2 linked regions of the Ovis aries genome follow. Each later gene encodes a partner of the first gene's protein in a complex. Links are inferred from orthologs where the notes say so. Each region holds a gene or a part of one and is shown in the gene's direction. Other genes may lie near its edges.

What was found. Proteins that work in one complex are often made in the same cells at the same time.
Region 2: the proteins of NAA20 (region 1) and SNCA are in contact, whole or in part, in a cryo-EM structure (PDB 7STX), measured with the Homo sapiens proteins. The link is inferred for Ovis aries from reciprocal best matches to the Homo sapiens genes NAA20 and SNCA. Residues at the interface, in NP_057184.1 of Homo sapiens: Leu23, Thr24, Glu25, Tyr27, His73, Val74, Thr75, Ala76, Leu77, Ser78, Leu110, Phe111, Tyr137, Tyr138, Ser139, Ala140; in NP_000336.1 of Homo sapiens: Met1, Asp2, Val3, Phe4.

Annotation. Positions count from the first base shown.
Region 1 is NC_056066.1:39,155,381-39,158,950, forward strand, and holds part of NAA20 (N-alpha-acetyltransferase 20), read left to right. Parts: intron 1-1,861; coding exon 1,862-1,952; intron 1,953-2,375; exon of another isoform or gene 2,376-2,582; coding exon 2,583-2,718; exon of another isoform or gene 2,719-3,570. UniProt on the Homo sapiens protein: Catalytic subunit of the NatB complex which catalyzes acetylation of the N-terminal methionine residues of peptides beginning with Met-Asp, Met-Glu, Met-Asn and Met-Gln. Proteins with cell cycle functions are overrepresented in the pool of NatB substrates.
Region 2 is NC_056059.1:35,550,228-35,553,797, forward strand, and holds part of SNCA (alpha-synuclein), read left to right. Parts: intron 1-1,431; coding exon 1,432-1,574; intron 1,575-3,570. UniProt on the Homo sapiens protein: Neuronal protein that plays several roles in synaptic activity such as regulation of synaptic vesicle trafficking and subsequent neurotransmitter release.

The DNA of each region.
Region 1 (3,570 bases):
TTTAGATGTTTGTTAGAAGTCACCTGTGAAGCATTTGGTCCTGGATTTTTGTTTGTTGGATGTTTTTAAATCACTGTTTCAATTTAAGTACTTGTGATTGGTTTGTTCATATTTTCAATTTCTTCAATCTTGGAAGACCATATCTAAGAATCTGTCCATTTTATTAGCATACAGTTGTTTTGTAGTTTTTATGATCCTTTGTATTTCTGTGGTGTCAGTTGTAACTTCTTTTTCATTTCTAATTTATTTGAGCTTTCTTTTTTCTTGATGAGTTTGGGCTAAAGGTTTATCTGTTTTATTATTTCAAATAATTAGCTTTTAGTTTCATTGATCTTTTCATTTATTTCTTCTCTGATCTTTATGATTTCTTTCCTTCTACTAATTTTGAGGTTTTGTTTTTCCATCTGGTGTAATGTGTCATTTCAGGCCTGTGTTTCCTCATTGGTTTTGTCTCTGTCCATTGATGAAAGTGGCTTGTTAAAGTCACCCACAATCACTGTGTTGTTGATTTCTCTTTCTCTGTTATCATTTGCGGGATATAGTGAGGTGCTCCTGTGTTGGGTGCATGTATACGTCTTTTTGGATTGATCCCTTGATCATTACGTCTCTTGTAACAGTCTTTAAAGTCCATTTTATCTGATATGAGTATTGCTACTCTAGCTTTCTTTTGATTTTTTATTTGCATGTAATACCTTTTTCTGTCCCTTCACTTTTAGTCTGTGTGTGTCCCTAGATTGCAAGTGGGTCTCTTGGAGACAGCATATATATGGGTCTTGTTTTATATCCATTCAGCAAGTCTGTGTCTTTTGAGCATTTAATCCATTTACATTTAAGGTAATTATTGACACATTCTTTCTGCCATTTTCTTGTTTTGGGTTTGTTTTTGTAGGTATTTTCTTACCTTCCTTTTTTATTCTCTTGTGGTTTGATGTCTGAAGCTAAGTCGCTTCAGTCGTGTCCGACTGTGTGACCCCACAGACAGCAGCTCCCCCGTCCCTGGGATTCTCCAGGCAAGAACACTGGAGTGGGTCGCCATTTCCTTCTCTAATGCATGAAAGTGAAAAGGGAAAGTGAAATCGCTCAGTCGTGTCCAACTCTTCACGACCCCATGGACTGTAGCCCACCAGACTCCTCCGTCCATGGGATTTTCCAGGCAAGAGTACTGAAGTGGGGTGCCATTGCCTTCTCCTAAGTTAATACTGAGAAGTATAGAAATGAGTACAACTCAGCAAGACAGCAGAGCTGAAGAGCTAAGTAATGAGCAAAGTACTCAGGCATTCATTTTAACATCAGGTTTTTATTTTGGGCATTACTAGAAATGCAGAATTTGAATCAGTGGACTGGACAAACTGAGTTTGTTACGTAGCCTTTGGAAGTAAACTACAGTTATTTTCACTGTCCCGTGCCTGAAGCTCCTGAAGGCACTCGTCACCCTTTCTAGTGCAGAAAGGGAGAAATAAACATACTGAGGTTGCACTGTGTCTCCAGCACCAGGGGGAGAGGGCAGGTGACACTCTCACTGTAAGGGGACAGGAGACAGGAATGCCAGGTGATGGGGAAGTGCTGTGCAGGGAGGGGGATCTAGACATAGTGTGAGCAGCGGGGAGACAGGCTGTAGAACTTGGGGGTCCTGGTTCTCCACTCTTGGATGGTATGTCTCCATTCACATCTGAGGTTACATATTCAGGCAGTTTTCTTAAAACTTAGTGCTAACCTAAACATTTCATGTAATGAATTGATTGCAGAAATCATACATAAGGCTAGGGATAAAGGAACAATATGCTTTTTAAAGGAAACTTCAAAACGTTTTGTGAAGAACTCTGACTGCCCTTACTTTGCATCCTCCTTAACGAGTCTCTAGTATGGGATTCCTTTTTACCTACAGTACCTTGCCCACTGGCCAGAATACTTCATCGTCGCAGAGGCCCCTGGAGGCGAGTTAATGGGTTATAGTAAGTATAACACTACTAGTACTTTTCTGGGTTAGCAGTTAAGATAAAATTAGTTTTTAACTCTTAGACTTATCACAGAACTGGAAATCATGATGCCTGTAATTTTCTTTTCAACTCTTTGACAGTTTACTGATATCTCTGTCTTAGGTACTGTGCTAGGCTCAGGGGATAGAGCAGTGGCCCAAACAGAAGTGGTCATGTTACTGGCTCAAGTTTGAGCTGTGGATTGTCTATTGTGTATACATACATAGATACCCACACAAAATGTAGGTTGTTTAAATACATATCAAGTAAGAGCACTAATAATAATTAGCTAGATGGCTTTAAGCAGCCGTCCCCAAACTTTTTGGCATCAGGGACCGGTTGCATGGAAGATCAATTTTCTGGTGGGGGTGACGACGGTTTTTGGACAATTCAGGCACATTACATTTATTGTGCACTTTATTTCTATTATTATTACATCAGCTTCACCTCAGATCATCAGGTCCCCAGAGGGTGGGGACCTCGGCTTTAAGTGTTACTTAAAAATCAGAGCTTGGTCATTTCCTTTATGATAAAAGTGCACCACACAGTATTTCTCTGTGTGTGAGTTGCCATGTTTAGTTACTGGATGCGGTCTTTCATTGGCAGTCATGGGCAAAGCAGAAGGCTCAGTGGCGAGGGAAGAATGGCACGGGCATGTCACAGCTCTGTCTGTTGCCCCGGAGTTTCGGCGCCTTGGTTTGGCTGCTAAACTTATGGAGTTATTAGAGGAAATTTCAGAAAGGTAGGAGCCTGTTTTTCAAATAATTCTTGAACTCTAACCATTTGGTTTTTCTCTTGGTGAATGTTTATCAGTTGTTTCCTTCAGGTTGAATGTGTCATGATGCAGTTTCATAGGAGTTTCATGTTCAGCCTCTAAAAGTCGTTACAACAGTCCTGTCACATATTCATAGTGGTGGTATTGTCCCTGTTTTGCCACTGAAGAAAATTAAAGCAGAGTGAATAACGTTCTGTAGACTCTTGAGCTGGGTAATTGGTAGAATCAGAATCCAGCCCTCAAGGTCTCTGTTACTGTTTTTGCCACTGGCAGACATTCCCCAATTCTTTGTTAACATTGCCCTTTGCATCTCAGTGATATTTTTCATAGTGTCCTAGGCTAAAGAAAAGTTTAGAGTTTTAAGCAGTGAAACTGAAAGAAATATTTTCATTTCATTGTTAGTCACTGTGGTTATCTCCTAATGAGATGGCGCCTGCTGGGCATCACATGGCTTCTCAAACCTTGGAATCTGATTCTGGAGAACCACCTGCACTCTTGTTTCACATTGATTTTCATGTGGTCCTGGGGCTTTATAATGACCGGAATTGCTAAAACCCTGGCTTCATAAAGACATTGTGTCACCAAGAGAAATATAATGTGATGTGTATTTGTGAACTATACAAAGCCAGTAGTTTGCCTGTGTTTTCCCAAAATGTTTGAAATATTCTACAGCACGTCCATGAGTTTGGACCACCTGGGAGCACAGTTTGAACAGCCAACATTGTGGCTTTTTTTAAAAGACCTGTTTCATATATCAGACATTTGTTATGTGTTACTTTTATTAAATCCACCAAAGTGGAGTGTTTTACAGAAGTAACC
Region 2 (3,570 bases), on another chromosome or scaffold:
TCCTCAGAAAAGAAGGCAAGCATTAGATATAGATAAGAATGCAAGACCCAGGCTTTATGAGTGTAAGTGTTATAAGGTTTTAGTTCAGTTTAGTTGTTCAGTTGTGTCTGATTCTTTGCGACCCCACGGACTTCAGTATGCCAGGTTTCCCTGTCCATCACCAACTCCCGGACCTTGCTCAAACTCATGTCCACTGAGTTGGTGATGCCATCCAACCGTCTCATCCTCTGTTATCCCCTTCTCATGCGTTTGATCTTTTCCCAGCATCCGGGTCTTTTCCAATGAGTCAGTTGTTTGCATCAGATAGCCAAATTATTGGACCTTCAGCATCAGTCCTTCCAATGAATATTCATGACTGATTTCCTTCAGGATTGACTGGTTTGATCTCCTTGCTGTCCAAGGGACTCTCAAGAGTCTTCTCCAATACCATAGTTCAAAAACATGAATTCTTTATAGTCCAGCTCTCACATCCATACATGACTACTGGAAAAAGGTTTGGGTGGAGAGTTGTCTTGTTTCCCTTGACCTTGAAATTGTTAAAAGTGTAGAATCTCATCTTTAACTGCTTTTTCATAAAACTCTTAATTGAAACAGACTTTTTTTATTGCAGCTTTGTTTATTTGATATTTGTCTGGAGTTAATATAGAAAGATTAATTCAACAGTTATATATAGTCTTGGATAATTTTTGACATGAGATCGAATCTCTTTCTAAATCTAATCCCAAACTATTTATACCATCATCTTAAAATTTAACTCATTTTTAAAAGCCTACCGAATCTCCATATCTTATTTTTAATGAAAAGAAATTAAGTGTGCTCAACAAACAATTTCATTTCATACTTTAAGTCCAGCTCTTTTGTTCCCATTAAAATGACTGAAAATAAATCTTAACACTAAAACTCATTCTGTTTCAACTACCTGATGCTTCATAAAAGGATCAGCATAGTCATCCCTCCCTCTGTTTTATTTCTGATGGTACCATGTGAGAGCGTGTATGATTCTGTGACTCAGAAGGTGTGATGAAAAAAACATGCTGAGTGAGATCAAAGACTTGGCATTGAAATTGAAATAAAGAAATATTTCATGCAGAGTTTGATACAACTACACCTGCAAGCCTTGCTTTCTGTAAACTTTCTTTCATAAAATGTAAACCAGAGTGAAATTGCTTATAGCCCTAAATTTGTGATCATTAGGCTTGAAACACCTTTAAATATCTGCATGATTGCATAGACTGTCTTGGCAAAGAATCTGTGTTTGGCTAAGCCACGCTCACTTAGCAATCCCAGTAACTTTTTCTTCTCCTGACTCACCAGTTATCTACGTGTGTGAATATAGGTCTTTGGAAGTTGATGGTTAGTGGAAGTGAAATTATTCCTAGTGGCTGTTGGTCCACCATCCCTTAATCTGTCATTATTTTTGATTCATCCCAGTGGCTGAGAAGACCAAAGAGCAAGTGACAAACGTTGGAGAGGCAGTGGTGACAGGGGTGACTGCAGTGGCACAGAAGACAGTAGAAGGAGCAGGGAGCATTGCAGCTGCCACTGGCTTTGGCAAAAAGGATCATCTGGGCAAGGTAGGACTGTGTACATCTTGTTCCATTTCTAAGCTTGTGGATCACCATTGCATTTTCAGCAAGGCACAGAGGCAAGAATAAGATGCTTACTTGCGGGAGAGCTGACTGAGCTTCCCTCATTAAAAAAAAGTACTCCCTTTATATGTATTCTTTTTGGAGAAACTCACCCAGATAAATACTGTGAAAATCGCACAATAAATGTGATTGTTTTATTTCCTGGAAAAAAAAAGTTAATGAAATGAACAGTGTAACAAATGTTTAAAAGAGCCGTGACATTTCAGAAAGAATGGGTGCTTTTATGTTGGCTGTGAATCTTGGAATTTTTCTTTGTTGGAGTATAGCAAAGGCTTTGTGCCCAGTCTCTAAATGTTCAAAATGAAAATCTTTTACTTAATTTCTTTATAGTGACATCATCTCTTATTAAATGGCATATTTGCTTATTATATAACAATTCACTGCCAAATATATGTTTGTGGAAACGGAGGGGCTTGAACAATGATCATGGTTTTGGGGTGATTTTAAAATTCTCAGAATTCTTACTTTTCCTTTCTTGACAAATATGAGACTCTAGGAAAATTATCCAAGAGTTAGGACTTTCATTTTAAACAAATAAGCAACAGAAAATGAGGTATCAACTGGAAGATGAACATTTTACAAAATTCATCACCATAAGCAGATTCTTTTTTTTTTTTAATTGAAGTATAGTTGATTTATAATGTTGTGCCAATCTCTGCTGTACAACAAAGTGACTCGGTTATGGTCGTATATATATTCTTTTTTATATTTTTCCCATTATGGTTTATTCCAGGTGATTGGATATAGTTCCCTGTGCCACAGTAGGACCTTATTGTTGTCCATTCTAAATGTGATGACTTGCATCTACCAGCTTCCAACTCCCAGTCCATCCTCCCCTCTCCTCTCCATCTTGGCCACCACAAGTCTGATCCTATGTCTGCGAGTCTACTTCTGTTTTGCAGAGAGGTTCATTTGCATCCTACTTCAGATTTCACATATAAGTGGTGTCATATGGTATTTATTTTACTCTTTCTGACTTCGCTTAGTACGATAATCTCTGGTTGCATCTGTGTTGCTTCAGATGGCATGATTTTGTTCTTTTTTATGGCTGAGTAGAATTCCACTGTATATATGTCATGCCTTCTTAATCTGTTCATCAATCAATGGACGTTTAGGTTGTTTTCAAGTTTTGGCTATTGTGAATAGTGCTGCTACAAACATAGGGGTATATGGGTTCTTTTGAATTATAGTTTCGTCTGGGTATATGCCCAGGACTGGGATTGCTGGATCATATGGTAAATCTATTTTTAGTTATCTGAGGAACCATCATCGTGTTTTCCATAGTGGCTTCCCCAACTTATATTGCCACCAACAGTGTAGGAGAGTTCCCTTTTCTCTACACCCTCTCCAGCATTTATTATTGATAGACATTTTAACAAAGACCATTCTGACAGATGTGAAGTGGTACCTCATTGCAGTTTTGATTTGGATTTCTCTAATAATTAGCAATGCTGAACATCTTTTCATGTGCCTTCTAGCTATCTGTATGTCTTCTTTGGAGAAATGTCTATTATGGTATTCTCATTTTTTTGATTGAGTTGTTTGCTTTCTTATTATCGTTGAGTTGTATGAACTGTTTGTGTATCTTAGATATTAAGTCCTTGCCGGTCGCATCATTAGCAGCAGAATGATTTTTGTTTTTTCCCTGCCACAAAGGCTTCCTGGCTATTCTTTAAATCCATATAGTGTACCCTTGCCTTGACTCTTCCCACTGTCTAGAAAGCTCTTCTCCAGTGTAAGTAACCCTGACTCACTCCCTTATCTCCTCAGGTCTTTGCTAAATAACACCTTCTCAGTGAAGCCTACCCTGACCTATTTAAAATTAGAACCATTCTCCTTACCTCTGGTGTTCCTAATTTTTCTACTCTTTTTAAATTTTTGACCAAAGCATTTATCACCTTTAGAAATAATAACTGGCTTA